Linked DNA regions of Pelodiscus sinensis. The protein of the gene in region 2 interacts with the protein of the main gene of each other region in a biochemical or structural test. Links are inferred from orthologs where the notes say so. Each region holds a gene or a part of one and is shown on either strand. Other genes may lie near its edges. The genes, in order: RUNX1, JUN, ATF2 and MAPK10.

Region 1 (7,334 bases), on a different chromosome or scaffold from region 2:
CGTGCTTTTGCGAAAATACTTTTAATGGAAAAACTTTTCCATTAAAAGTATTTCCGCAAAATCATGACAGTCTAGACGCAGCCCATGGATATAAGGGAGAGAAAGGAATTACACCTGAAAGGCATAATTGGACTGGAAGAGGTAAAGACGGGGAAAACCAAGAAGAATGTGTCTCAGAGGATGTCTACACAGCAGGACTAAAGCCAAAATAAGCTACACAACTTGCGCTACGACAATTGCATAGCTCAAGTCGAAATAGCTTATTTTGGCTTTTGGCGCTGTCTACACAGCAGGAAGTCCGAGGTAGAGCACTCTTCCTCCAACTTCCCTGACTCCTTGTAAAATGCAGGTTACAGAAGTCGGAGTAAGAAGTCCTCCAGTTTGACATTCTTTTGACATTATGTCAAAATAACTGCTTGTACAGTAGACATGGACGTTGTTATTTAGGAATAATGTCAGTTATCTTGAAATAACACTGCTGTGTAGTCATAGCCTCAGACAAACTGGAGTACTGAAGAGGTCACAGGAGAAAGGCAGGGAGCCCTCTGGTAAAGTGACAGTTTTGTACTTCTACAATTAAACCAAGATCCACTACTGCTCATTTATTATTTGTATTATCGTAGAGTATAGGGGTGCTATCCCAGACCACAGCCCTATTGTGCTAAGCACTGTACAAACACACGGTATGCAAGAATCCCCCTCTTAAAGAGCCACAATCTAAATAGACAAGACAGACAAGAAATTATTTCAATTTTACAAATGGGAAACGGAGGCAGAAAGGTTAAGTGATTTGCCTAAAGTCTCACAGGAGTCTGGAACCAAACCCCTAAACCCTGAGACACGATTTATTGTCTTAACCACAAGTCCACTTCATGTCTGTTTTTCATAGCTTCAGTCTTGCCGAGTAAAGGACTAGATATGTGAGAAGGACTTTTTTGTCTGTTTTAAGCTTATTTTTCTTTTTTTCTTGTTTTTAATTAGACCACTTGAGTCTTAAATTGTGTTGCTGTAACGTCACTCGAGTAAATCTATGAAAGGGCCGACAGCCTTCTGACCTCTACTAAAAGGTACTCAGGGATAAAACAGTATATATCCTGGAAGACTGGCCTGAGGCAATCATGTAAGAATTGCCACTGAGATACTGGCTCAGTCAGTACAGTAGCTAGTAAGCCAAGAGGAGTGGCTAGATAGTTATGACTCAGTATGAGAGACTGGAAAATAGCCATGAAATTGTCTAAGTTGAGGAATATGTGAATAACACTCACTTTGGTCTAATCCTGCAAGTAAAAGACAATCCCCATTTACTTTTTTTTAAATAATTGTCTGGTTTAAATTAGATGCAGATCAGACTCATTATGAAAATGTCTGTTAAGGTAATATTTTACTTTGCTCACCAGATCCATATGTCCAGTGTGGGAATGCAGGTGTGGTTTATGTAACTATGCTGTTGCACTCACACCAGATTGGAGAAGCTTTGTTTTAACTCTTTAGGGCACATATGCAAATAGCAATTATATCTAGGATACATTCCATTTCCCCTTCTTTCATTTGTAGGAATAAGGAAGAAAATAGCCTTGTAGAGTTAAATTATGGCTGTTAAGCATGCTTAGCTGGATGCAAGGGGTGGTATGGAGTGAGCTAGGAAGCATCCTGCATCAAAGACCAATTATCCCTCTCATTTACAGAGATGGTGGTAGCAGTGGCAGTAGTGATGTTGGAAAACTAATTTAATAATACCATTTAAAGCATGCAATTTACTCTGCCCCCCCTCATAGCCAGTGAAGTCTGTTAGCTGCCACCAGTGGGAGAAGGAGTTATAGTTGTGTAAGAATGTAGGTGAAGTTGTAGGAAGCAAAGGTCATCCTCCATTTTGGAAGACATAGCTCTAGACTGCAGTCAACATCCAGCTCTGACTATTGTTCTGTTGATAGTGTTGCAAACCCTGTTCCATTCAGAGATCATGAGTCAGGCCCCCAAAATGCATGAGAGCATCTTTAAAATAAATTTGAAGTTCTTTTAATTTGATTGATTAATTTAGCTTATGTTCAGGATTTTGAGCTTTAAGATTACACTGGAACATGTTTTCAATTTTTTTCTGCAGTCATAGGTGCTAGAAACTTCCTTTTGGAGCTAATTTTAAATAAAAGACTGAGATTCTCATATCATCATTTGTCTTCAGGATTTGGGGCTTTCTGAAAAACACCAAGACTCACAAAAAGGTTATGACCATTGGCCATGCTGCATTAGTTATGTAATGCTTATATAAAAAATAATTTAAGTATTAACAATATTCTCTGTGCCATAATAAAGAGATGACCTACATGTGGGGTCAAAAGGGCTAAGGACTTTGCCTACTACTCTCCCTCTTTTTAGGAAGTTACTGCCAAGGGTTAGCAATTCAGAAGTAGTCTGTATAATCAAATTAGCCTTTCTTTCTGTTTTCTGCCCTTCCCATGCAACACAATGTGGTGCAATTTGATTATACCTACATTTGGACACAAAACAATCGTACTATCACATTTTTGCCACAGCATTTCAGCCATTTTACTGAAAGCTTTTCTCTCCCACTCAATGTTTTTTGGAGATTCAGATGAAGAGAAGTTTTGCATTAATGATTTCTATGAAGCCAAGCACAGACAATAGTTTACAAAGGGCAAACATTTTGCTAGTGTTTGTGTGTCCAAGTCAAATGCAAATAGCAGCATATCAGCAGATCTGTTGATATGACATACAATGAATGAGGGTCAAAAAGCTAAATTTACATGGTCTGATAATATTTTCATGCTATTTTCTTCTATTTTCAGCACACAACATGGAAAAGAGTATTTTCTTTTCTTTTTTCAGGAAATAATATCTCAAGAGTTGCCTTAAAAATGCTGCGCTTGTTAAAAAAGACATTCTTCCGTGCAGTGCAAACCAAAAGTAGCAATAATGTCATGTTCTATAAACAGCTTTTCTATTGTAGCCAAATAGTCAAAAAGATTTGCATGCTTTTACAAGGAATATTAGCACATAACGTATGAAGTAATGCCTACATATCTCACACACACACACACACACACATGCAAAGGGCATACTAGCTGTCACTTCTATTGCTCCTCTTCTCTTGGTATTGACTCAACTCCCCGATGGAATCATTTTATTACCCTGGGCTGTACAACATTATTCAGACTAAATCTGTTAAGAGTCCCTTTTCCCTTTGATGTGGTCCTGTTACAATATATATGCATGGAACACACTTGACTCCTGCTTTCAAAAGCCTCCGATCACTTACCTCCAATCAGCACTAACCTTTAGAACTGTGGAGGGGACAGATCTCTCAATTCCTATCATCACAAGCTCCACTAGTGTGCCCCTAAGACCATGTCAGGACTAAAGAAAAAATAAAACAGGCAGCTTGCCCTGATGACATTCAGCTAGCTACCCAGCAGCACGAGATTAAAAACGACAGAGCTATCCTTTCTTCATATAAGTGTATTTATAAACATGCCGTACATAAGCATTTTTCCTTTCTTCACAGTGATGGATGATTATATGTCTATGAGATGCTTTCATTTATTTGGCGCCAGAGTAATCAAAATCAGTTGAAACTGTGGCGAAAGACGGGAAAGGAAACAAGTAGGCGTGGAATTGACTCTGCCTCTTTCTCCCTGGGCCATCCAAGGGTAGTAGCTGGCAAAAGTGTACCCACTGCCGACGAACTTCTCCGTCAGCTGGTAATTGTTCCCAGTCCTGTTCATGGCTGCTGTCCATTGAGGATGTAGCTCTGCATAACTTTGAAAGCAATCAGCTCGGCTCTGGAAACACTGTGGGAGCTTCCGAGCCAGCATGTGCGTGACTCTGTTTAGGCTTTAAAAAAAAAGTGGCCCCAGAAAACCTTTGTGAATGAAATTTTTATGCTTTCATGTCTGTCCCAGCACAGATTCTGGGTCAGTCCTTCTGATCTCAAACATCCTGTTTAAATTGGCATTTTCCACTACATACATACAAAAATATTTCTATTATAAGCTTTTCATAGCTGTGCATGGGCAAGCAAAATGAATTAGATAAGGAAAGACAGTTAATGTCTCTCTGTAAAAATTAAACAAATACATAAAATAAATAATAATAAAACATAAACATTAAAAATACTGATTTTTTCCATGAGTCTCCCAGGGTGTCAAATTCCTTAAATTCATCTTGTAAGGCCAGATGAAGAGTTCAATGACAAATTTTGTGTTTTCATTCCTTTTTCTCTCCCTCACTTTCATAATCGTGCACCAAAAATATAGTGAATAGCTAACACCACAAATATTCTGCATTGGATGAAAAGGTGACACAACAGAATTGCTTCCAGAATTACTCATTGAGGGAGTTTCCAACCCTCTTCACTGAGAGAGATGCACAGCTAGCTACTTTTGTGCCACACCATGGAGGACATTTTGTACAAACAATCTAATGATCCACTTTACATACAGCAGAACCTCAGAGTTACAAACACCTCGGGAATGGAGGCTGGTTGTAATGCTGAACAAAACGTTATGCTGGTTCTTTCAAAAGTTTACAGTTGAATATAATACCTCTCTGAAACTTTACTATGCAGAAGAAGAATGCTGCTTTTCACCATCTGCTGCTTTAACCAATGCTGCTTTTAACTGTTTCTGTGCTTGTTTAATTTAAATGAAACAAGCACTCAGACAGTTTCCTTTCCCTATCAATTTTTAAACTCCTCCCCTTTTTTTAGTAGTTTACATTACTCTGTTTTTTCCCCCTTTCTGCTGCTGCATGATTGCATCCTTCTGGTTCTAGATGAAGTCTGTGGTTAAATGGTCTGGTGCTTGTAACTCTGAGCTTTTTCTGTATTTGCAAATACTGTACATACAACCATAATCTTAAATGTATAGTCAACACTCGTTACCCCAAAAAGCAACAGGAGTAGCAAATAGGAATGTTAAGACGTGGGTATTTTAATAATCGTGTAGACGATAGAATTGTTATTGACTACATGATTAGTCAATAAGGGAAGGCGCTCTGTCCCTGTTTGTGTTGGGTCCGGGAGCTACTCCCAATGGGTATGTCTACACTACAAAGTTAATTCGAACTAACAGACGTTAGAACGAATTAACATTAATAGGCGCTACACATACAAACCGCTAGTTCGAACTTAATTCGAACTAGCGGAGCGCTTAATTCGCACTAGGTAAACCTCATTCCATGGGGACTAACGCCTAGTTTGAATTAAGTAGTTCTAATTAAGGGCTGTGTAGCCACTTAATTCGAACTAGTGGGAGGCTAGCCCGCCCCAGCTTTCCCTGGTGGCCACTCTGGGCACCACCAGGGAAACTCTTCTGCCCCCCTCCCGGCCCCAGAGCCCTTAAAGGGGCATGGACTGGCTACGGTGCCCGTGCCAGGTGCAAGCCTTCCAGCACCCAGCCAGCAGACCCTGTACCTGGCACGGCTCGAGCCTGGCCACCCAGGAGCAGGCTTGCATGAAAATCAAGGTGGTCCAGTGAGACCCCCGACTCTGAGCACCAAAGGTCCATCTAGCCCAGTAGCTTGTCTGCTGACAGCGGCCAACACCAGCTACCCCGGAGGGGATGGACCGAAGACAATGACCAAGCCATTTGTCTCGTGCCATCCATCTCCAGCCTTCCACAAACAGAGGCCAGGGACACCATTTCTACCCCCTGGCTAATAGCACTCCATGGACACAACCTCCATGACTTTATCTCACTTCTCTTTAAACTCTGTTACAGTTCTAGCCTTCACAGCCTCCTGCAGCAAGGAGTTCCACAGATTGACTATTTGCTTTGTGAAGAAGAACTTTCAGTTATTAGTTTGAAGCCTGCTACCCATTCATTTCATTTGGTGTCCTCTAGTCCTTCTATTATGGGAACTAATGAAGAACTTTTCTTTATGCACCCTTTCCACACCACTCGTGCTTTTATATCCCCCCTCAGTTTATATCCTCTATCATATCCCCCCTTAGTTTCCTACTTTCTAAGCTGAGAAGTCCCAGTCTCTTTAGCCTCTCTTCATATGGGACCTGTTCCAAACCCCTGATCATTTTAGTTGCCCTCCCCTCTCCCACCCTCTCTCTTCCCCTCTCCCACCTCCTTTTCCCAGTCTCCCCGAGTTTTGTTAAAGTAAAGAGAGTTTCTATTTTTGAACACACGTGTTCTTTATTTTGTATATCAGGAAGGGGGGCTAGGGAGGGGTAAGTGGCAGGAGGTGAGGGAGGAATGGGGTACGAGCCCCTGATGGGGAGGACTGGGGTGGCTCTGCGGGCTCCTCAGGGTGGAAGCTCTTCTGCAGGCCCCTGATTGACCCCCCTCCCCGGATGGCAGCCTGCGGCAAGTGCAGCTGGTCTGATGGCCCAGTGCTGTGATGTGCCGAGTGTGGGCACTCAGGGCACTCCAAGCCAGGACTGCTTTGCTGTCCCTCATCAAGTTAGACAAGTGAGAGAGGAACCCTGAGAACTGTCTGTCCAGGGTGGGGGTCGGGTCCCTTTAAGCACAGCCCTCGGCTAGCCTGAGACAGCAGCTCCACGCTCTAAGTCCTAATCTGATGCCCTGCCAGCGCTGCTTCCGGCCATCCTTAACCCCGGTTCAGGGTCCACTCAATGTGGACATGCTAGTTCGAATTAGCAAAACGCTAATTCGAACTAGTTTTTAGGTCTAGGTGCACTAGTTCAAATTAGCTTAGTTTGAATTAACTAATTCGAATTAAGTTATTTCGAATTAGTGCTGTAGTGTAGACATACCCAATGAGACTCTGCAGTTTAAATCTAGTAAGAGCTAGGCTTGCTCAGTCACGACTCATTCTGGGTCCAGCAGCCCCTGTCCATGGGGGACCCCAGCACAGAGCTGGACCCTCTGCGGACAGAAGCTATTGCCGGAGAATCTTCTGCCTGCGGCCAGCCCAGGCTGCCATGGACAATCTTCTGTACATGGCAATTTCCCCATCCCTCGCTTTTTAAGCTAGCTCCTGCCAGCACTGGCTCCTGCTTCCCACCCCTTTGCTGCCTGTGATACAGAGGCAGTGGAAGGTGGTGGTGCCTGGAAGAGGGGGGCGGGGGGAAGGGAAGGATGTGAGTACTTGAATCATCAACTCAACTAACCAAGAAGCCTAGGCTTATCTGTTAGTCGACTACTCAACTAGTCGCTTACATCCCTACTAGGAAATGAAGCTGCACAGAACTTACTGGCTCTGAGTGGAGGTACTCAGCTTGGGTCAGCTTGGGGACCCTGGCAAGGTGGGGGTAGTGGAGCAAGGGGAGCTGCTGGGGCTGTTGACACCAGGGTGAAAGGTTGTTCCGGGGTAAATGGATTTTCAGGAAGAAGAAGGCCTTGGGA
Region 2 (8,070 bases):
GATTATGTGTATGAGAAATTTTAATTTATCCCTCAAAAGGCCATTTAATTATTGAGATAATCTGTTTGCTTCTTGCAGCCCTGTATTGATGGATTACAGAACTCTTGAAATGAAAATCTGTATTATCGTTAGTCAAGGCATCTACCTGCCGCATCAATGGAAATAAACAGTTAATTTCCAGTTCCTTCTCACAAATGGCTCAGTAAGCCCCGGTTTACACTAGGGAATTATTTCAAAATAACTCCCCTTATTTCAAAATAAGGGGCTGGTTATTTTGAAATAACAACTCCTGCTTTCCTCGGGGAATAAGCTTATTTCAAAATAGTTATTTTGGGGGATATTTCAAATTTAGTTATTTCAAAATAATTTCCTATTGTAAACATGCCCTAAGTGTTTTTTCATCTCACTACACTAGTTATTTCATGAGATCAGGAAGGGGCTAAAGAGTGCTAAAGTAATAGCTGATTCAGGAATCTAGTCATCTACCATTCCAAGCTCTCATGGCCATGGAGACTCAAAATCTCTGCACCAATAGGGCAGATTCACCTTTTCTGAAAGTATGTCTACATTGTAAGAGTGAATGTGTCTCCATGTCCAGGTAAATAGCTATGTACATGTTCTGCTCATGCTAGTGCACAAAAATAAGTATGGATTGCGTGACACAGGCAAAGGGTTGGACTAGCCACTGAGTATGGACTCTCAAGGATGGACTTTTTTATGGGCGGCTAACCTGTGTTGCTATCTGTGCCACACCCTTCACATTGCTATGTTTAGCACACTAGCTTGAGCAGAGCTAGTATGTGTCTGTCTATGGGTACGTCTACACAGCAACATTATTTTGAAATAACTAGCGTTTACTCAGCAGGCAGTTATTTCGAAATAATATCGAAATATTGTCAAGCTGGAGGACTTTTTACTCTGACTCCTGTGACACTCATCGTACAAGGAGTAAAGGAAGTCGGAGGAAGTGCTCTATTTCGAAATAAGTGCTGTGTAGATGTTCCAAATTTCAAAATAAGCTATGTAATTGACGTAGGTCAATTTGCGTAACTTATTTTGAGTTAAGCCCTGTTGTGTATATGCACCCTAACAGAACAGCGAGGTACAATCCCAGCTGGAGTGCACACAGACTCTTCAGTTTCATACTACTGAATGAATCTCAGTTTGTCTGCTGGGTGCTAAACCAAGATTCTCAATCTTACACTGAGCAGACAGCCATCATTCATTTCAGATGAATGATATTTAGGCTTGGTTGAAAAAGCAGGAAGAAACAGACAGCCAAGAAACAAAGTCACATTTTCTTTGGTTTCAAAGCTGTCCATGTATACTCAGCATTTATGACCAGCTTGACTGTCTGTTGCTCAATTTCCCAAATACCCTCTAAGTGAGTATCAGTTAACATAATTAATGTTTGATGACTATCTGCCCTAGCAATAGGCCATGGCAGCAACTTGTTCCCAGTGAAACTGGAATGACCTACTTTGACCCCGTCCATTTCTGAAACTCCACCTTTGTGACAGGAAGGAAGTCAAAGCCTGCCTGCAGCAAAGTGGGTGAAAAAACATGAAAAAAAATTCTACACAACAGTATACTAGCAACCCACTCCAATACTCACTGAATCAATGGAAAACTTGTGTTGACAACAGGGCTGTTGGAACAGACCCGAATGGAGCAATAATCTGTTTTTCAGTTCATACACATAAAGTTGACTAAAAAGAGGCCTGAATGGTACATTGACTTCCTTTTTTTTTTTTTTTGGCATTACATCTTAACTTGGGTGTGTAATGTTAATTTGTTAATACCCAAGTAGTTATATACATAAATATAGTGTTTCTGGACAAATTCAAGATTACTGCAATCTTATTTAACACTGTTAAGATTTAGAGCTTATCTACGTGAGGAAAATTGACTGGAATATCTGTTTTGCAATAAATCCCCATCCAAATCCTCTAATTCCAGAATAGACACACCTTTAACGTGCCTTTAGCCCAAACCCTTAGCTATATCTAGGTACCTAATTTCTATAAATTTCAAAGGGACTTAGGCACTTAAAAACCTTTGACAATCTCGGCCTTTCTCTGGTTTAATTTAACAATGGGTTAAGCAAATGCAAACAAGGTGTTCTTATTCTGAAATAAGTGTCCACAAAGGGAATTATTTCAGAATAACTAGTGTTTTAAGCTCACACTCTTCCTTTTACCAGAATAATATCCACTGTAAAAAAAAAACCTTTAAAAATTTGATAATTGTACTTTGACACAAAAGATTACAATAGCATCAGAGCTGGTAGTGAGTAAAATTAAACATTTCCCATTGTTAAACAGACAAATGAAAACTTTGAAATGTATCTTTATGAAATATAAGTTTATTTGTAACATCTTGAGTGTAATTTTGATGAAGCAGGGAGCCGTTAACATTAAATTAAACAATTAGGCTGTGTCTATATTGGCAAAATCTTGCTGCCTGTCTACACTGGCTGGGAGTATCAGCGCAAGAACACTAATGTAATGTACAAAATCAGGGCTCCCGTTCCCGCTCAGGGATAAGTCCTCTTGCACAAGTGTACTTGCGCAAGAGGCCAGTGTAGACGGGCAACATCAATTTCTTGCGCAAGAAAGCCCGATGGCTAAAATGGCCATCAGAGCTTTCTTGCGCAAGAGAGCATCTACACTGGCACGGATGCTTCTGTGCAAAAGCAAATCTTTTGTGCAAAAGCACATGCCAGTATAGATGCTCTCTAGTGCAAATACTTTTAACGGCAAAACTTTTCCGTTAAAAGTATTTGCGCAAAATCATGCCAGTGTAGATGCAGCCTGAGTGTGTCTAGCATCGAACAGGCTGATAACAGATTTCGAGACAAATGTATATGCAATGACACTTCTGATTTGTTAAGCTATTTAACAGTTGGAATTCTGGCTGCATGCTAGCACACATTTTAACTTTTCTGGAACACAGGAATATCTTGGTTACATGTACTATGGCAAGACATAGAGAATAATAGGCAATATATTCAGGTGTGAGTTTAGAATTTCACACTAGGAACTATTACTCCAGATGCTACAAAGTGTACACTTGTTCTCTGTACACCAATTACTTTCCAAAACCGGCAGTACTAGCTCTTTTGCAAGTTAATATACTACTCAAATTCAAGTGGAGGACACTAGAAAAAAAATGTCAAATGGAAAGAAGAAACTGGGAGATCATTTAGAAAACTAATGGACTATGATGTTTACTTCTGCTTTGGGTTTGTATTTCTTTTTAATCCCATTTGAAAATTTAACCAATTGTTATGTCTGGAACAAGAACAAAAAAATCCTAGAATGTTTCCCTTTTTCAAGTACTTGTTTAATCCATGAAATAACAGTCCGTTTTGCATTTAAGACGTGATTTAACAGGATGGCCACATTCTCTTCTGGAGTACACTGGCAAAGTTCCATAGAAGTGCGTCGATTTACACCACCAGATAATTTGATCTACGTAACTTTTATAATTGCTTTACTTGTTAGGAGCGTTGGCCACGTGTTTCTGCTCGGCAGAATATGATATAATAGTCTTCCAGCTTCTTGCCCCGTACCCGTGCGCCGGGTGGTGTTAAGCAGCTGCTCCCTCCCACCTCAGCGGTGGTGACATCTCAGCGCTGCCTTATTTGCAAAGAGCTTTATAGATATTCACAAACGCTGCCTCCCCACAAACTAGTGAGACTGGTCGGGAGGAGGCAGCCCTGTCTGGGTAGCAATGTGCAGCACCTGCCAAGAGCGGCAGAGCATTGGCGGGGGTGGGGTCGCTCCGTGGGAGGGCGAGGACACTTTTTTCCCGCGTTTCCCGGAGCGCTGCCGCATCCCAAGAGGCGCAGCACTTTGCAGAGGGTAAGGTCGCAGGGTGGGGAGAAGCCCTGGCACGTCGCCAGCAGCACGCCCCCGCCAGCGAGGCAGGCGCGGCTCCCGCTTGCCAAAGGAGCCACGTGGGCTCCGCCCCGTCCACGCTCCGCAGGTGCCAGGCGGGAGCTGCCAAGGTTTGAATGCGGGAGGCGGGAGCCCGGAGAGCTCGGGCCCGTAGCAGGACCCCGATCGCGTATCTCAGCCGCTGCTTCCCGAGCAGGCGCCTCCCCTCCCCAAGCGACAGCGGCTGCCCCCGTCGGAGCCAAGCGGCGCTCCCCCGGCGCTGGGCAGCGCTGCCGGCCGGCCCCAGCAGGGAGGGGAAGAATCACGTGCGGCTCAGGGTCATCCCTAAGCTGTCCCCAGCCTACGGCTGCGCCCAGACGTCAGTGCCACCTTAAGGACCGTACCACCCCACGGGGGGGGAGGGGGAGTCAGAATGCAGCCTAAAGCGAGCCCCGACGCGAGGCCCTCGATGCACCCAGCCCCCTGCTGGCAGACTGAACCGTGAAGACTCAAGCAGTAGGATTGATTAAAAACTCACTAGCCACCCCGTGTCCAGGGAGCAGGTCGGTCTGTGTGCCTTTCCCACCCCCCCTCCGTCCACAACTTGGTGCTTGCTGCCTATTAAGGAGGCTCCCCCTTCCCAACCCCGCGCGTCCAAGCGCTCTTCAGCGGGTAACCAGAGATTCAAAAACAATACGTCAGCCCACAATGCCCCGCGGTGAGCACAAGCATTACCTCATCCCACAGTGCCCTGCGAGGGAGCTGAGAAGCTTCTAGGGGTGGGGTGACCATGGAGACCGGCTCCTTTGCAACAGGCCGGGCCAGCGGCCCGCCACCCCCCTGAGGTGCCGCCGCAGCCAATGGGAAGGCCGCGGGGTGACATCATGGGCTATTTTTGGTGGGTTACTGCTCGCTGATAAGTGTTGGGCTGCAGGCCGGGAAAGGGCTCAGAGTGTGCGGCAGGCACCAGGGCAGCAGCAGCAGCACTAGCAGCGGCGGCGGCGCCCAGCGCGAGAGGCGGGCACGGCAGCGCGCGCGGTTAAGTGCCTCGGGTTGCGGCGGGGACCCGGCCAGCGCAGCCGCGGGAAACGTGGTCGCCGCGGCGGGCGGAGCTGGAAGCCGAGACAGCGGCCGCCCGTGGAAAAGTCCTTGGGACAGCTCGGGGGTGCGGCGCGGCGAGCCGCGGCTGGGACAGCCCGCCCCAGGGGCTGCAAGCGCCGGGCGCCCCAGGCACCCTCGCAGCGGGAGAAGAGGGCAGCCGAGAGCCTGGGTTTCTGAGCCTCCCACCCCGCGCGATCCGGAGGGGAACCTGCCTGTCGGACACTTACTCCGGAGTGAAACTAGAGCGAGGCTGGATTTCTGCTCCGTTCCTCGCCGCGCAGCGCCGTCCCAGACACCACAAGAACTTGACACCAGCGCGGCTGCGACTCCGCGCTCAGGCTGACTCGCTTGTTGTGGTTTGAAAAAAGTTGAGTCCTGACCCGCGGAAGAAACGGGGAAAGACCCGCCAGCCGCTGCCCTGGGGGATAAAAAGAAAAAGTAAGACTCGAGCCGATCGTTACTTTTCCAAAGCTTTTTCGTTGTTGAGTTACACCGTTGCCGTTTTGTATTGAAAAAGGTGAACTTGCTTTGAACGGGACTTGGCAAGCAAACGAGTTTCTCCCTGCTTAATTGTAACTGCTTCAAAGACAGTTTGGTGGACTGTGTTCTATGACTGCAAAGATGGAACCTACATTCTACGATGATGCCCTAAATGCTACCTTTGTACAGCCAGAAAGTGGTGGTTATGGATATAATAACCCTAAAGTCCTGAAGCAGAATATGACACTAAATCTGGCTGATCCTGCCAGCAACCTGAAGCCCCACCTCAGGAACAAGAATGCTGATATTCTTACCTCCCCAGATGTTGGTCTCCTGAAGCTGGCATCTCCTGAACTGGAAAGGCTAATCATCCAGTCCAGCAATGGCTTGATCACCACTACTCCCACCCCAACACAGTTTCTGTGTCCCAAAAATGTTACTGATGAGCAAGAAGGGTTTGCTGAAGGTTTTGTGAGAGCTCTGGCAGAGCTACACAATCAGAATACGATGCCCAGTGTTACAACTGCTGCCCAACCAGTTAGCAGTGGTATGACACCTGTTTCATCTATGGCTGGCAACAATGGTTTCAACACCAGTTTGCACAGCGAACCTCCAGTGTATGCTAATCTCAGCAACTTTAACCCTAGCGCACTCAGCACAGCACCTAACTACAATGCAAACAACATGGGCTACCCACCTCAGCATCACATTAATCCACAGATGCCAGTGCAGCATCCCAGGCTCCAAGCTCTGAAAGAAGAACCTCAAACTGTACCTGAAATGCCAGGAGAGACTCCTCCACTGTCCCCCATTGATATGGAGTCACAGGAGAGGATCAAGGCTGAGAGGAAGCGCATGAGAAACAGAATTGCAGCCTCCAAATGCCGGAAAAGGAAGTTGGAAAGGATTGCCAGATTGGAAGAAAAAGTGAAAACTTTGAAAGCCCAGAACTCAGAACTGGCATCCACTGCCAACATGCTCAGAGAACAGGTTGCACAGCTTAAGCAGAAGGTCATGAACCATGTCAACAGTGGGTGCCAACTAATGCTAACACAACAGTTGCAAACATTTTGAAGATACTGACTTGGGGTGAAAAATCTATGATGTTGCAGTAGAGCAACAGAAAAAACAAACCCATAACAAGTGGCAGATTCATAAAGCTAATGGTAAAGGCTTGAGAGGCATTGAGTCCTGCTTGCACCCCACAAAGTACATGTGTGGAAAGACTGGCGAGCCTTCAACAGAGCTAGTAGCAAAACAGCACCACTCTGAGAAGTGCTGTTCCTGCTCAGATGATACATCAGATCTTTGTTTAATATTGACCAAGACCTGCATGGACCTAACATTCGATGATCATTCAGTATTAAAGGTTAAACTGCAATAGAGACTGTAGGTTGCTTTCTGTAATACTCTTAAAGAAAACACAAATGGGAGGGAGGTTTGTGGGAGGCTGATAAAAACAAATATACTGCCTGCCTTCAAGTAAATTGTGTATGTACATTTTTTTTATTTTATGAAAGCTGATTAATGTCAATAAACAACTTCATGACTTTGTAAATTATTTTTATGTTTGTGTTCTGTCCAGTAATGTTTGTAAATGAGGGTTTTTGAGCACTCTGAATTTACCATTTGTAATAAAGTATATAATTTTTTATGTTTCTGAAAAAAGTCCAGAAAGGTTCTATTATATTTAAGAAAATATAAAAGCATTAATAATGCATTTCCTTCCCCTCTTCCCTCCCTCCCCCTCCTTTTTTACCAGTACCTAAATCAGGACTCGTATCACACATGCTGAACTCTCAGTGGTAGAGAATGTTTAACTTATACTGTAACAAGAAGACACGTTCTGGAGAATGTGTTCAAGTGAAAAGATAAACCATACCCTGTAACATGAACAGCAAATAATGTATGTATTTTAAGTGTTTTATGGATTTAGTTCAGATTGGCTTGCCTGTCATAATCCCATATCACAATATAGACAATAGCTTTAAAAATTAAGCAGTTTGGGGGGGTTTGCTATTTGCATCAACTTGCCCTGTCCTATACTAGTCTGAACTGTAACTATTTCATATTACTTATTAAAATAATATCCCCAACACCATATTTTAGGTAGGAAATTTAACAAAAAGGTATCCTTCAGTACTGTCTAATTATTCAGAAATAAGAGGTGGTCTTTGTTCATGAATACTTGCTGTCACAATAAAATTCTGTAATCCCTTTCCCTATGTTGAAATCTTTACCCTTTTAGACATTTGAATATTAAAATGTATTTACCAATATGTAAACTGGGGAGTTTTAATATAATGGAGAACATATGTAACTATAAATTGAAAGAATGTAAATAAAAAAGGAAGACATTCAGGAAGGACAAAAAAAGGAAATTGACAATTTACCTGTCATTTTCAGTTTGCATTTAAATAATGGAAGTATGAGACCACTTTTGAGGACAGAATGAAAACAAGCAGCAGTTTAGACAAGTCAACTCATCTGAAATAAGCCCATGTTTTTGGTAAAATAATTCAGGATTTTCAATTTACTGGCTCTGGATCCAATTAAATTGTCTGTCTGGTTTATATAAATGTATTTAGAATGATTTTTAGAACTGCAA
Region 3 (7,986 bases), on a different chromosome or scaffold from region 2:
CAGAATCCAGGGTCAGCTTGGGACTCCCTGGGCTCCGCTTGGCCAGGTTCCACATGGCATATTCCCAGAACCTGGGATCAGCTGAGGAGTGACACTCCTTGGCAGATGCCCCTTTGAAACGCACCTTGGGGTTTCAAAGCAGCAGTGCTGCGCAGCCACATTGAAGTACCTCTTCTTCCCCCCACCTCCTTTGGCTGCCTCTATATAATAGAAGCAGCCAAAAGTGGGGGGGGGGGGGGGGGAAGGGGAGAGGAGGGCGGACATTGACTAGTCAATTGACTATCTGATAAGCATTTGCTTATCGGATAGTCAGCTAGTTGACTAGTCTTTAATATCCCTAATAGAAGTGTAAGTTAACAGTGTCCGATACCATGAAACTCTATATTTGGTGTACACACACACACACACACACACACACCAGTAACATCCCATAGCTCCAAGGAGGAACATGGACCTATGTGTACCAAGATGCAAGAAAGCAGTACCTGCCTACAAGGGCTTACAGTGTAATTTAAGACAAGACATAGCAAGAGAAAGTATCAAGCAACACGGAATGGTTGAAGAGACTACAGGGTCACTGTAATAAGATGATGCAGTTAAATAAGCTAGCTAATGCACACAACTTGACTTCAGGAAGTATCATCATATTATGCTTGTCACAATGAAAGTCTTCAATGGGTTCTTTACAAATGGGAATTTGATAAACATTTTTTGAAAATGGAAGCATACTAGGACGAGTTCAGATTAAATTTCAGAAAAGCAATACATATCATGAAATAGATAAAGATTGGCACATGGCTTTTATTTGTGATCACAAATATCCACAGACAAAAAAAAGATGAACTACAATGGCTAAAAATGGAATTAAATCTTGACATAACAGGCACATCAGAAACATGGCCAAATGTCAAAAGTTAATGGAATACAGTATTATCTGGGCATATCCTATCCAAGAACAAACTGTGTGGGAGCAGCAGTGAACCCATAAAGATTTAATATAATCAAATAAGATAAAAATTTCTGAGTAAAAAGGAGGATACATGGCAGAATCTGTATAGTTATAAAATGCCTAGTGAAGACTACAGATATCAACAAAATTAAACTTACCAACCTCTAAGTCTGAGTAAAGACATTGTGTGTGCAATGAAGATCAAAATATTAATGTACAACTTTAACTACCCAAATATAAAATGATAAATAGGTTTCCTACCCTCCTGCACAAAATGCATTTTTATTAATGTAAATTTCTGACAGTAACCTTTAATGTAACAATAAGCCCCAATAATGTTTTAGATTTTTTTTGTTCAAGTTCACTCATTGCAAAAAGGCCCTTTGAAATATGCTAAGTGTTATTTTCATGGCGCTTTAGTAGATTTTATAACTAAGAGATTAGAGCATTATTCTACCTAATCCAGTAACTTCTTCTCTGGTTCTAGTTCCGCAAACACTTGCTTTAAATAATTGAGCTACTACCAGTAATGAAGTAAAGTTAAATTTATGCATAAGTGTCTGCACTATTGGGCCTCTAATAGCAGCCACTACCAGATACTTCAGAGAAAGGTTTAAAAAAAGTCTTGCATTTCACAATTATGGAAACACCTGTCCACAGGGTTCCCCCCCAGCTGCTACTGGTTGTCTTATACTCTAAAGCAATAGCTGTTTTCCCCTCCTAAAATATTTCAAATGGAAGCACAGAGCTCTTTGGAAATTTTAGACATGGTTTGCAGTTCCCCACGCCCCCGCAGGAGTCCATGGACCACAGGCTGAAAACCACAGCCATCGAGCATAATTTGAATCTTATACCTTTTTACCTTATCTAAACTAAATGTGGATATTCTCAGTAGACACAAAAATGGCTATTTTAATCTGCCTAAACTCTTGCACTCAGAAATTGCTTCTGCTGTTGTCCCAAACTAAATCCAAGATTCATTGACTAGGATATAAAGGGAATAAAGATTTTACTAAAGGCAGGGAAAGGATGGAAGATAGAAAACAAAAAGCTCAGAATTCAATTATTTGGAGAAAAAGATAAGCATAGAATTTACTTTTTTGGGGGGGGGGGGGGAGAGAGAAAAGGCATCCAAATTACATGAGATACAAGAGTATCCCAACTCATTTCATTTGCAAAGACAGTATTATTTTGTGTGAGGGAAACCAAAAGATTGCAAATTGTAAAATAAATTTACTAGGTGGTGGGAGTGGACATGACAACACATTAAGTTCCTAGTACCTACAATAGTGAACAATCCTGAGGCAAGAGATGGGCCCCTCAGGGAAGATGTTCACAACCTTCAATATAACTATCATGCTTTGAATGTCTGGGCATCAGCTCTGCCTCTCATAAAGAGTCCTCCAAAATGGGCCACAATAAGTGAAAGGTTATTGAGAGGACCCTAAAGAAAATACCTACAATTGGCAGCACAGTGTCGAGCTCCCACTCAACACAGTCACAATGGTGATGTGCCCCAGCAGAGCACTACAACCCAGGCCAGGCTGGAAGTAGGTACAGGCCACACAATCGCATCGGCACTTACGGGCAACAGAGCGACAGCCCCCTCTCTGGCTCTGCCCTCCCCTTTTAGCACTTGCTGAGGGCACCTGGGTCTCCTCTCCCTCCACCCGCCCCTCTCTACTCTCAGGCAGTCACAGGCGAAGAGAGGAACCTTCCCGCTTCTCCTTTGGCTCGGTCCCGTCGCAGCAGGGGAAGGGGCAGGCCCACTTTACCCTTGCAGGGGAGAGCGCCCCCAGCGCCCCCGGGGACGGGTGGGAGCCGGCTGTATCTATCAGGGCAGCCCGCTTCCGGGGAAGAAGCCTCGCCCTGCTCCCCAGCCCCCTCCTTGGGGCAGCCGCAGGGACCAGCCTACCTCGGGGGCGGGTAACAGTCTCCTGCGCGCTGGCTCCGGCCCGAACCCCGCGGCTCTAAGGGTGGCGGGGGCCACAGGCGGGGGTCTCCGTGGAGAGCGGCGGCGCCATGTTAATACCTCCCGGGCACCCCCACTTAGCCCAGCCCAGCCCGGCCCGGCCCACGCCGCCCCCTTCCCTCGCCCGCTAGGGCCGAGGCGCCGCTACCCACAACACCCCGTTACAACGCGCCAGAGGCGCTGCCCTTCGCCGCGCTCTGTTTACAAACTCACCCGGGGAGAGGGGCCGAACCGCACATTAAAGGCCGGGTCCCCCATAGGCTTCCGTCCCTTCTCGCGATAACTCACTGGCATCCCCCCCTCCCCAGGCCGAGGGAAAGGGGTCACGTGATCCACGGGAGTTGCAGCTGGCGGTAGCATAGAGAAGGCCCCTGATTGGTTTGCAGGGTGGGGCCCTCTAGTGTCTGGTTGGCCGGAAGCGCTCAATTGTGGGGGCGGGGATGGACGCCTGTAGGTGGCGTTTTGCTAAGCTGGTCTTCTCAAAGTCGAGCGGCTGGAAGGGCAACGTTAGCGCCGCGTCTCTAACGACTGGCCCAGGGCTGCTCCCGCGTCCGGGTTAGAACGGAAGATAATGCGGGGGAGGAGGGGCATGACAGAGGAGATTTAAAATCGACCTCGTGACCGTTTTGTGGTAATTCAAAGTGCATTGTCTTTGGGGGCAGGGGCCGTCATTTTGTTCTGTGTACAGCCCTGGCAGCACAGTGGGGTCCGGGTGGGTCCCTGACTGAGGCTCATCGGGGCTATGATAATACAAATGAATTATGTTAATTAGTGTTACCCCACTCACGTTAACTCTCTACTATCCTGGGCCTAACACAAGGGCAGCAACACTGCAAACAACGGTTGTTCTTTGAGACCCTGTGGGATAAAGATTATAGTAGGAGCTTTATATAAATGTAAAATAATTTGTGATTGCTCATTGGGCTTGAAAGGCTCAGAGCAGGAAGCAATGGGGATCTTATACTTTCCAAATAATAGATGCTGGGAGTGCTAGAAGTGGTTTCCATCATAAACAGGGTTTGTTAAGTGGTTCTCAAAACTCTTGACTGTAGAGGCTGTGTCTAGACTGGCAAGTTTTTCCGCAAAATCATCTGCTTTTGTGGAAAAACTTGCCATCTGTCTACCCTGGCCACTTGAATTTCCGCAAAAGCACTGACGATCTCATGTAAGATTGTCAGTGCTTTTGCGGAAATACTATGCTGCTCCCGTTTGGGCAAAAGTCTTTTTCTGAAACACTTTTGCGTAAAAGGGCCAGTGTAGACAGCAGAGATTTCGTTTCCGCAAAAAAGCCCCGATCGCAAAAATGGCGATTGGGGCTTTTTGCGGAAAAGCGCGTCTAGATTGGCCACGGATGCTTTTCCGCAAAAAGTGCTTTTACAGAAAAGCTTCCTGCCAATCTAGATGCGCTTTTGCGAAAATGCTTTTAACGGAAAACTTTTCTGTTAAAAGCATTTCCGGAAAATCATGCCAGTGTAGACGTAGCCAGAAAGTATACCAAGCCAACACCCTTGTTCCAACTATACCACTTTTCTTTCATAGCCATTAGCGCCAAGAGATAATTTGTTCTGTGGGGACAGGAGGTAAGAACAGACAGAAGAGGAGAGACAAAGGTGGATCAGAGACCGAAGACTGCCACAGATGTGTGCCACTGGAAAAATCTGTACAGTAAGGCTACGTCTAGATTGCATCCCTTTTTCGTAAAAGGGATGCAAATTAGACGTATTGCAATTGCTAATGAAGCGGGGATTTAAATCTCCCCTGCTTCATTAGCATAAAAATGGCTGCCGCTTTTTTCAGCACGGAGCTTTGCCAGAAAAAAGCGCCAGTCTAGACGCGGATCTTTCGGAAAATAAAGCCTTTTCTGAAAGATCCCTTATCCTCTTATTTAGAAAAGAGTGATCCATTAAAAAGGAACAGGATAAGTCTTCTGGTTAAGCTTATTCAGCATGGATAAGTGATCCAAAGTTAGATACTATCTCATAATAGCAGATTGAAGTAATTCAGGATTACTTGGCAGGTTGTCTATTGAAATTATAGTGTGTAATCATGCCCAGAGGTTATCCTAACTTAATGCACAGAGGTAGAAGTGAAGTCATGTTACAGTGTGAGCATTTGAATGAGCAGATGCTTTAACACTGAGAAGCGAGGTAGGCGTACTGCCGGACAAATCACATTTTAATTTGGACCAATTCCCAATGTTATCTGGAAGAGTATCTTGGATACAATTTGGTTCTGAGTCCATTGTGGCAGGAAAGCAAGAGTTGCGTTGCTCAACTTTTACTAATAGGTAGAAGGGCATGGTTTTGGATATATAAATATTCTTATTGCAGGGGTTTGGAGTAAACTAATAAAAGTTGCAGTCATTTGTTAAACCAAAAAAACAATGTTCAGAGCCTTTATTTACAACATGGTATAGTTGTAAAAATTAGCTAAGGCATGCTCAAGAAGCAAAATGACCACTGAATGACTAAATAAAACAAATGTATAAACATATGACAATTATGTACAAAAATTACACTTCAAAACTGGTAGGGATCTGGAATACCAAACTATATAATAATTTCATTATGCCTTATGAAAATTCTGACAAGGAAGAATTTAGAAATTTTCATGTGCAGGCCTTATCCTCATATCATTCTTACCTACTGACACACAAGGAGTATTTTCTGAATTATAACTAGAAAAACTTTATAATTATTGAATTTGTATTTTCCATGCTTTTAAATATAATCGTTAGTCATTATGGGTGCGTCTAGACTGGCAAGATTTTGTGCAAAAGCGAGTGCTTTTGCACAAAAACTTGCCAGATATCTACACTGGCAGCTTGAATTTGCACAAGAGCACTGACGTTCTAATGTAAGAATTCAGTGCTTCTTGCACAAATACTTTGACACTCCCGCTCAAGGATAAGCCCTCTTGCGCAAGAATACTTGCGCAAGAGGGCCAGTGTAGACAGGCACCTTAATTTTTTGTGCAAGAAAACCCGATGGCTAAAATGGCCATCAGAGCTTTCTTGCGCAAAAGTGCGTCTATACTGGGCACGGATGCTTTTGCGCAAAAACATCCGTGCCAATCTAGACGCTTTTTTGTGGTAATACTTTTTATGGAAAAACTCTTCCGTTAAAAGTATTTCCGCAAAATCATGCCAGTCTAGACACAGCCTTAAATGTATGTGATCACTCTCAGCATTGCTCCAAGTTTTTTCACTTATTGGCCAGTTTGGTTCCTGGCAATTTTGAGGGACTAGGTCACTTCTGTCAACAATCTCCATAGGGGTCAGACAAAGTTGCTAAATACCTTGTATTCTATGAAAATGAACCACAGGGAATGTACCCAGAAATCGCTACATTTCAGGGTTACACCAGCATCATCATCAGTATTGATGTACACTGAGTGCAACTGCCCACGTGTAACACTCAATTGTCATTGTTCTGTATGACCGAGCTCTAACAACTTGTGATGTTCAAAATTAGACTGCGGTGATTTTTAAGTTGACAATGTCCTTTTAAATAAAATACAAAATGTTAGCTAAAACATTTTGAATTTTAATTAGAAAATTCCAGCAACTACAGTACTAAAAGCATCTTTGTGGCTGATCCAAGACAGCAAGGAAAGTTTTATAAACGAAGCAGGAAAATGTTATGTAATTTAAACATTGCTTATTGCTACACTGAAGTGGTAGATATATTTTTAGCTCTTCAAAATGCAGTCATAAGTTTTACAAATACTTGGACTGCAAATTATATATATAACAAAATGTTAGTGTTATCAGCAGAACAAAGTGTAGTCCACATGGTCACCTGAATCCAATTAATATTAGTGAGTCTCACAGTTAACAGGGCAATGAAATTTCCTCAAGACTACAATGCCTAAATAGGGCTGGCTGGTATCCGGTTTTGAACTGGAGAGTCCAGTATTTGAGCTTTCTGTTCGGGAAACAAATTGAGAAAATATAAATGTCCAGTATTTTCTAAATAAGATGTAATGTAGATTGTGATTTAATGTCACAATTTTTGTTGAAACCATCCGGCAACCTTATGCCTAAAATGTAATGGGGAAAACAAAAGGATCTTTCTTTACAAGTTTGTCTTTTTGAACTAGAATGTTTATGTCCTTAAACAATGCAGCAAAAAAGTATTGCTATAAATTTTAACTGTTTCCTTTAGTTATGTAAATTTTTATTTTAATTATACCTAAAGCAATAGCTCAATTACACGTAAAAATTGAATCTATATTTCACATTTAATTGACGTATCTGAGGCTTGTTGATCATTAAGTGACAGTAAGTATTCCATAATGGGTCAGACAATGTCGACTCAAATCGTATTTCCATCTGAAACATTTAACTTTCGTAGATACAAATGTAGCAGCTAAAATTCCTCTGAGAATAAAGAATAAAATGATTTTTTTCCAGTTTGTCAATTAGTGAATTATCTGACCTCTCAGTCCTCATCCTCAAAGGAAATCTGTGCATCATCTTCAAAACACAAACATGGGAGCTTAAACTCACAACTTTGTTAGACTAAAAATCATGGACTCAGTAAAGACAGTGTTTTACATGAGCCATACATTCAATCTATAATTCACCCAATCCTCCTTCTTTGTCCTCTGACTACATAAGTGTTAATCCTCCAACTTCACCTTGCATGGGTGCATTACAACATTTGTGATGCTAAACAATCTGTCCATCTTGTATTTAGCTGTGATACTGTGAATACTTTCCCCAGACATGAAGAAGAGCTCTGAATAAAGTGCAAAAGCTTGTCTTTCAACAGCAGAGGTTGGCACAATAAAAGATCTCACTTCCCCCATCTTGTCTCTCCAATTAGTTGTATAATCATTATCACAGAAAAAAGAACAGGAGATGCATGAGAAGTGTCTGCAAGCATGTTTGGTAATGTTATGTATGGGTCCACCAAAAGAACCCTTTAAATAACAGCAGACCCAGGACTGTTTTTTTTCAGTGTGTAAAGTGCTTCACACAATGAGGTCTTAAGACATGACTGGGATTCTTAAGCTTCAGGGGGTAGCTGAGTTAAGTTTGTACAGAAAAAAACAACAAATA
Region 4 (7,923 bases), on a different chromosome or scaffold from region 2:
GTGAACATTGTTAATGACTTATTTAACTCTGATCACAGATTTATGTAAGTTCAGGACTGGAAAAGACCTCGGTAGCGCAACTAGTACAGTCCCTGGCACAAGGAAGGATGAAGTACTAGCTAGATAGGGAATGTCTAATCTCATTCTACAACCTGATAAGGTAATTTGTTCTAGTCCTTAACTACCCTAACAGCTAGGAAGTTTTTCCTAATGTCCAATCTAAACATAGAATAGAATAGAAGAACTGAGAAGGACCTTAGGAGGTCAAGTCCAGTTCCCTGCATTCACAGCAGGACCAAGCACCATCTAGACCAGTGGTTCTTAACCTGGGGTGCACGCACCCCTGGGGGTGCGAGATGCCCTTTCTGGGGGTGCAAGACATGCCAGATTTTTATGATATCTCTTAGGTTTAAAGAACTGACCTACTTCAATGATTTTTAATAAGGGGTGCAAGAACATATTTTGAGAACCAAAGGGGTGTAGGCTGCAGTAAGGTTAAGACCACTGATATAGACCATACCTGACAGGTGTTTGTCTAACCTGCTCTTAAAAAAGATCCAATGGCAGAGATTCCACAACTCCCAAGGGAAATTCATTCCCGTGCTTATCCACCCTGACAAAAAGATTTTCCTAATGTCCAACCTAAACCTCCCTTGCTGCAATTTGAGACCATTGCTCCTTGTCCTGTCATCAGAGGCTAAGGAGAATAATTTTCTCCCTCTCCTTTCACCAACCTTTCAGGTAATTGGAAGCTGTTATGTCCCCTCTCAGTCTCCTCTTTTCCAGATTAAACAAAACCAATTATTTCAATCTTCCTTCAATGTCATGTTCTCTAGACCTTTAATCATATTTGAAGCTCTTCTCTGGACTTCCTTCAATTTGCCCACATCTGTCCTAAAATGTAGTGTCCAGAACTAGAAAACTATTTCATTTGAAGCCTAATCAGTGAAGAGTACAGTGGAAGAATTACTTCTCATATCTTGTTTACAACATTCTTGTTAATACAATCAAGAATGATGTTTGCTTTTTTTGCAACAGTGTCACACTGTTTACTCATATTTAGCTTACAGTCTTTATGACCCCTAGATCCTTTTCTGCAGTACTCCTTCCTAGACAGTAATTTCCCATTTTGCATGTGTGAAACTGATTGTTCTCCCTAAGAGGAGTACTTTTCATTTGTCCTCATTGAATGTCATCCTACTTAGCTCAGACCATTTCTCAAGATCATTCTAAATTATAATCTTATCCTCCAAAACACTTGCAACTCCTCCCAGTTTGGTATCATCTGCAAACTTTATGGCTGCATCTAGATTGGCATGATTTTCTGGAAATGCTTTTAACGGAAAAGTTTTCTGTTAAAAGCATTTTTGGAACAGAGTATCTAGATTGGCACGGACGCCCTTCCACAAAAGCACTTTTTGCGGAAAAGCGTCTGTGCCAATCTAGACGCGCGTTTCCACAAAATAGCCCCGATGGCCATTTTCGCGATCGGGGCTTTTTTGTGGAAAACAAATCTGAGCTGTCTACACTGGCCCTTTTGCACAAAAGGGACTTTTTCCTGAACGGGAGCAGAATAGTATTTCCACAAGAAGCACTGATTTCTTACAGTAGGAAGAATTTTTTTTCTTTTTGCTTTTGCGGAAATTCAAGCGGCCAGTGTAGACAGCTGGCAAGTCTTTCCGGAAAAGCGGCTGATTTTCCAGAAAAACTGGCCAGTCTAGACACAGCCTATAAGAATATTAGTTATGCCATTATCTAAATCAGCATTTCTCAAACTATGGACTCGCTGCGGCCCAATATGGGCCGCGGGAAAAAAATAGTGGGCCTCAGCGTGGCTCCCAGGGTGTTCCAGGCTCCCAGACTGCCCATTCAGCGCTGGGTTCCCTAAACCCTCAGCCGGGCTGGGCGGATGCAGCCATATGTTTCAGGCTCCCGGCAGAGGCATAGTGAGGGTTACCAGGTGAGCTCTTATTGCTGGCTGTAGAGGGAGGAGGAGTTGGATATGGGCCGCAGGGAAGCAGGGTCGGGGCAGTGGAGCTGCCCGGGGGATATAGGGAGGGGAACCAGCTGGCAGAAGCAGGGCTGGCCGGGGGGGGGGGGAGGGTGGGAGCCGTGGGGCTTGCTAAGGGAAATTGTGGGGGGCGGGGGGGAGAGAACCGGCTGGCAGGGGCAGTGAGGCTGGCTGCGGGAGATTGCAGGGAGGCCGGAGGAACCAGCTGGCGGAAGCAGGGCTTCCAGGGGTAGCAAGGCTTGCCAGGAGAGATCGGGAGAGAATCGGCTTGCAGGGACAGGGCGGGGAAAGGACAGAAGGGGGGGAGGGGAGAATCAGCCAGCGGGGAGCGGGACAGTTCAGGGCACACGCAGATCCTGAATACAAATGTAAAAGCAGTGCCTTGTAAATATCCCCACTGCTGACAGTGAGGTTTAAAGGCACTACACTGTGTCAGAATGGAGAGAACCTGGTGAATTCACCATCCCGAATGAGAATATGGATAAAAGATGTGAGAAAACTACTCACTCCAAAAAGTGGCTTCATATCATCCTCAGCACCCCCAGCTTCACTGCACTTCCAATAATCCAATTAAGTAAAAAAAAATTTTAAATAGGGTTTCTATTTCCTGTATTCAGGCTTTATTGTCCACCCTTTCCGCTCCCCCACTTTGGCTCTCATCTCCATTATGGACAATCAGAGATATTCTTTCACCTGCCTCTCTAAGCCCACCAATAGTGTGGGTCACTTCTCTCTGCAATTCTCAAGTTTTCTTCTCTGTTTTACTTGGACTCTCTCTGTAGGAGTATTTTTGCTATTATCCTTTGCTAGGTATACAGAGTCACCTTACCTCTCCATTAACAGGTACACCAATACCTCAGTTTCTCTCACTAATCTATAGTCTCTTTCTGCTAGTAGGTTGGCTTAGTCCTTCCCTTCCAGGATGTGCAGCCATTTAAACAGAAGACACAAATGTCTTTCCCTTCAGTACTGGATCTTTGCAAACAAACAATCATTTGCCCATGGCTTCAGGGCTGCTCATGTGTATATACCCTTCCTGGAGACACTGCTAACACATAGGGAAGCCTGTACCTTCCACTAACAGCATGGCTATGGCCCCTCAGCTTCAGCCTCAAACATCCATTTCATTCTTTCCTTAGGACTACTTGAATCATAGACCAGCTTTCCTGGCTCCTAAGTCTCCAGCCCAAACCCTTCCAGTCTTCATCAGCAGACAATAGTAAAAGAGAAATAAAATGAAGATTTTGCCAGAAATCTTATTTTAGTCCTCTTACCCCTTGTTCAGGACCTCAAAGTCTCAGCTCAGCTCACAGCTGATAAACAAAAAAACAGCTCCCTGAACAAGTACAAAGAGGTGCTTCCTTTTCCCACTTCAGCATGTGTCTTTATGAACCCAGCTGGAAGCTCTCTCCTTAATTGGCAAGCACAGCAGATTCTGTGAGGTAGGGTAGGTAATCTGCCTGGCTTTCTTTGCAGAGAATTTTCCCCTTTCTTGTCTGAGCATGGTCATCTCATCACATGGCTCTTAAAATTCTGTAATAGTGCTCAGTGGAATTCACTCTGCAGTGACAGGATATGAAGGACTGTAAAGTGAAATGCTTCCAACAGCTTATTTTTCCATTAAGATGAGAACTCTGCACATACAATTACAAAATGTGTGTTCCACATTATTTAACTCCTACTGGTTAGTCTCTTACTTTAAATTATAAATAGTGTGACATATGTATTCATTTCCATTGTAAGAGTGTTACATTATATGCTCTGAAGATTTATTGTTCCATTGGAATAAAGCAACTGCAGATTTTTGTATGCTGTTAACAGTTCAAAAGTAGCAAATTGATAGAAAATCTAAGTTCATTAGACCTGACCCCAGTTAATTGGCTAAATTAGTTCAGTGGCCTTCAGAACAGGCTCCTACTGCACACTATATGCTGGAAATACATATTTCCTTTAGAAGCAGCCCCAGATGCTATTTTCTCCTTAGAAACAGATTGATATTTTCTGCATATACAATATTTATAAAGTGAACAAGGCCAAAAAGGGAGACTGTCACTGAAAAAAACAGTGTTAAATTAGGTGAATGCAGCCACTAGTAATTTCTAGTTTAATTCAGCAAGCTGACTTTCCGTCCATGGCAGAAATCTGCCATTCTTCAGAACTGGAAAAAAGGAACATCTCTTCTTCAATTCTTTGACTGCATTGCATGATTTGACCAGACATGCTAAGGCTATGTCTACACTACGAGTTTTCTTGGCAAAAAAATATGCTAATGAGAGACTCATTTGCATGAGTCAGACTCTCATTTGCATATTTGCTGCCGGTCCATTTTTGCGCTGGGGTTTTTGCGCAAAAACAAGCAGTGTGGACATTTTCTTTTTGCGCAAAACCCCCTTTCCACAAGATCCTTATGCCCCAAAAAAGGAGGTGTACCGCTCTTGTGGAAAAAAGGGGTTTTGTGCAAAAAGAATATGTCCACACTGCTTGTTTTTGCGCAAAAACGGTTCCGCAGCAAATATGCAAATGCGATTGTGACTCATTTGTGGATACACTAATTCCATAGCTTGATTGCCTTTGCACATAATGCCTGGGATCTTGCACCCCCAGGGCGATTGATGTAGAACATAGCAGTCATATTGTAAGTGGGGATATGCACCAAAGAGTCCTGGATGTGTGGGAGGAAGTGTTTGCACACGTTCTGAACTGGTCGAAGCTCGAGCAGGTTTATGTGGAATACGGTCTCGTCTTTGGACTACTTCCCTTGTGCAATTTGTTGTTGGAAGTGTGCACCCCAACCCATCAGCGAGGCGTCTGTAGTAATCTGTTTGGATGGCTGCTCCTGATGGAAAAGTACCCCTTTACATAGGTTCTAAGCAGGGAGATAAGGATGAAACGGGGGGCAGAGAGCAGCCGGGACGGAAAGGCCTTGAGCAGACACACAGGCCTATCAAGCAAAGGTGTGCATCTAGGAAGCCTAGGGGAGGGTTTCTCCAGTTACACTCTTCCCAGGGCCTTCCAACTAGAGCCCTGTGTAATGTCGAAAGCTCCTACCTTATAGGAATATGCTCAGTGTGTCTGGGCATGCTCAGTGCTGTGCTCAGGAAGTAGCACAATCTCTCAAGTAGGAGCTTTCTACATTACACACAATTTAAAAAAAACTTGCTTGGTTGTTAAAAACAGAACTTTGTGGTGATTTATTTGAGGTAGAAGTAACTGGGGAGGAGGGGGACTGAGAACCTAGAAATGGGGAGGAGGGAGAAGGCTAAGAAGCTTGGAGGGAGGAGGAAAGGGGCTGAGAAACTTGAAGTGGGGAGGAGAGGTTCAGAGCTGGGGCTGAGAGAGATGTGTGGCTTGAGTGCTCCCTCAGCCTCATGTGCAGAGACCTTGGCGACCTTGGGGGTGGGAGATTCCAGGGAGGTCAGGGGGATAGGCAGGAGGGGGCTAGAGCGGGGTCAGGAATGGGAGGGGGAGCGGGGTCAGGAACCGGGACTAGAGCAGGAGCAGAGACCAGGACTAGAGCTAGAGCAAGAGCAGGAGCTGGCTCCAGGTGCATCAGGAGATCCTGGACGGTCGCACATATGTTGCATCCCTGCTGCAGCAGCTTATTCCACATCTGTGTCCGACACTGCCAGGAGCGGCCCAAGCCCGGCTGCAGCAGCTGGAGCCCCAGGTAGGCGGTGCAATTGGCGCCCCCTCTGCAACCCCGCCTGCACGACCGTTAATGGCCATCACATCATCACGGGGCGCCCAGGCCAGTGCTCTCTAGGGAACTGCGTAGTTCGCCTAGGCTCATGGGATGCCCTTGGCCACTGCACATCATCCTGGACCTTCTGGGCCAGCGTCTGCTGCATGTCTCTCAGAATGCAGATGTGCTCCCTCATCAGGTCCTCCTGGACCCTCCGCCACCTGCAGCTCTCCCAGAGTTGGGCAGCTGGCTCGGGTGGTGTAAATTGCCCCACTCTCATGGCTGATCTGCCTCGGGAGAATAAAGGGAGGCGGTCAGTCATCTCTGGGGACACTGTCCCTGAAGCTTTGCCCTCCTCTGTGAGCTGAGAGCAACAGTTCCCGGGTCAGAGGAAGGTAATGTCCCAAGAGAAAGGCCATGTATGGCCTGGACAGCGGGCCCTGTCTTACTCGTGCTCCCCAGGGGACAATGCTTCCACCCACCACATCCTACAGACAAGCAGGCAAGGGAAATGGCCAGCCATACTGGGATCCAATGGCCAGGAGGGGTGCCTCAAGGTGCCTGGGCTTCCATCAGTGCGGTCTTGGGATGTATTAGGCGAGGTATTTCCAGTAGGGATAAGGAAGTGTTACTGCCATTATTCAAGGCATTGGTGAGACCCCATTTGGAATACTGTGTGCAGTTCTGGTCTCCCATGTTTAAGAAGGATGAATTCAAACTGGAACAGGTACAAAGAAGGGCCACTAGGATGATCCGAGGAATGGAAAACCTGTCTTATGAAAGGAGACTCAAGGAGCTTGGCTTGTTTACCTTAACCAAAAGAAGGCTGAGGGAGGACATGATTGCATTCTTTAAATATATTAGAGGGATAAATACCAGGGAGGGAGAACAATTATTTAAGCTTAATACCAATGTGGACACAAGAACAAATGGATATAAGCTGGCTAGTAGGAAGTTTAGGCTTGAGATTAGACGAAGGTTTCTAACCATTAAAGGAGTGAAGTTCTGGAACGGCCTTCCAAGGGAAGTAGTGGGGGCAAAAGATCTATCTGGTTTCAAGATTAAACTAGATGTGTTTATGAAGGGGATGGTTTGATGAGATAACATGATCTTGGTAACTAATTGACCATTCATTATCAGTGGGAAATAGGTCAATGGTGGGAAGATAGGAGTTACTATAGAGAACTTTCTGGGTGTTTGGCTGGTGAGTCTTGCCCACATGCTCAGGGTTTAGCTGATCGCCATATTTGGGGTCGGGAAGGAATTTTCCTCCAGGGTAGATTGGCAGAGGCCCTGGAGGTTTTTCGCCTTCCTCTGTAGCATGGGGTACAGATCACAGCTGGAGGATTCTCTGCATCTTGGGGTCTTCAAAGTATTTGAAGGCTTCAATATCTGAGATATAGGTGAGAGGATTATTCTAGGAGGGGTGGGTGAGATTCTGTGGCCTGCACTGTGCAGGGGGTCAGACTAGATGACCATAATGGTCCCTTCTGACCTTAAAGTCTATGAGTCTATAAGTGCCACACACACCCTTGCACCTGGCAGCGCTGTGCCCAGGACCAGGTGGTGCCTCGAGTGTGTAGACATGCCCATGTCTGTATGTGGCTTTCTTAAAAGCCTCTTTCGAAAAAGAGCCTCTAGACTGCAATCAGTACTTTGAAAAAAGCAAGCCACTTTTTCAAAAGAGCGCACCCAAGCAGAGTGTGTCTAAAGACAAATTTTATCGACAAAACCCTGTAGTCTAGACACACCCATGGATTAGTCTGGAAGGGGAGGGGAAGAGAAGAGGGAGACAGTGGGGAGGGGGCAGGGCCAGGTCCAGGTCAAAGCAGGGGTGGAATATGGGCAGGGCCACAGTGTGGGAAGTTTGCCTCTCCTAGCAGCAGCTTCACCTATTGCCCATGCAAAGTAGGAGTAAGATGTAGCTAACTGGAATTCAAGTCTTATGTTTCTGTTTGTTCCCTGGTTGATGCAAGTTTTAATTTTTCCACTGAGAACTAGACTATGCTGATCTGTCATGGAACCATTAGGAAAAGCAGCCTTTGTTTTTAAACACCAGGGCTACGTCTAGACTGGCATGATTTTCCGCAAATGCTTTTAACGGAAAAGCAGAAAAAAGCTTTTGCAGAAAAGCGTCCGTGCCAATCTAGACGCGCTTTTGCGCAAAAAAGCCCCGATCGCCATTTTCGCAATTGGGGCTTTTTTGTGCAAAACAAATCTGAGCTGTCTA

What was found.
Region 1: the proteins of JUN (region 2) and RUNX1 form a complex in vitro, tested with the Homo sapiens proteins (2 studies listed by BioGRID). The link is inferred for Pelodiscus sinensis from reciprocal best matches to the Homo sapiens genes JUN and RUNX1.
Region 3: the proteins of JUN (region 2) and ATF2 form a complex in vitro, tested with the Homo sapiens proteins (4 studies listed by BioGRID and IntAct, with this or other methods). The link is inferred for Pelodiscus sinensis from reciprocal best matches to the Homo sapiens genes JUN and ATF2.
Region 4: of the proteins of JUN (region 2) and MAPK10, one has a biochemical effect on the other in vitro, tested with the Homo sapiens proteins (7 studies listed by BioGRID and IntAct, with this or other methods). The link is inferred for Pelodiscus sinensis from reciprocal best matches to the Homo sapiens genes JUN and MAPK10.

The regions. Positions count from the first base shown.
Region 1 is NC_134711.1:184,931,137-184,938,470, forward strand, and holds the start of RUNX1 (runt-related transcription factor 1), read right to left. Parts: upstream 3,349-7,334; 5' UTR 3,334-3,348; coding exon 3,275-3,333; intron 1-3,274.
Region 2 is NC_134719.1:14,319,157-14,327,226, reverse strand, and holds JUN (transcription factor Jun), read left to right. Parts: upstream 1-4,683; 5' UTR 4,684-5,591; coding exon 5,592-6,536; 3' UTR 6,537-7,681; downstream 7,682-8,070. UniProt on the Homo sapiens protein: Transcription factor that recognizes and binds to the AP-1 consensus motif 5'-TGA[GC]TCA-3'.
Region 3 is NC_134717.1:44,025,394-44,033,379, forward strand, and holds the start of ATF2 (cyclic AMP-dependent transcription factor ATF-2), read right to left. Parts: upstream 3,260-7,986; 5' UTR 3,135-3,259; intron 3,128-3,134; exon of another isoform or gene 2,865-3,127; intron 1-2,864. UniProt on the Homo sapiens protein: Transcriptional activator which regulates the transcription of various genes, including those involved in anti-apoptosis, cell growth, and DNA damage response.
Region 4 is NC_134715.1:13,816,453-13,824,375, forward strand, and holds the start of MAPK10 (mitogen-activated protein kinase 10), read right to left. Parts: upstream 3,425-7,923; 5' UTR 3,286-3,424; intron 1-3,285. UniProt on the Homo sapiens protein: Serine/threonine-protein kinase involved in various processes such as neuronal proliferation, differentiation, migration and programmed cell death.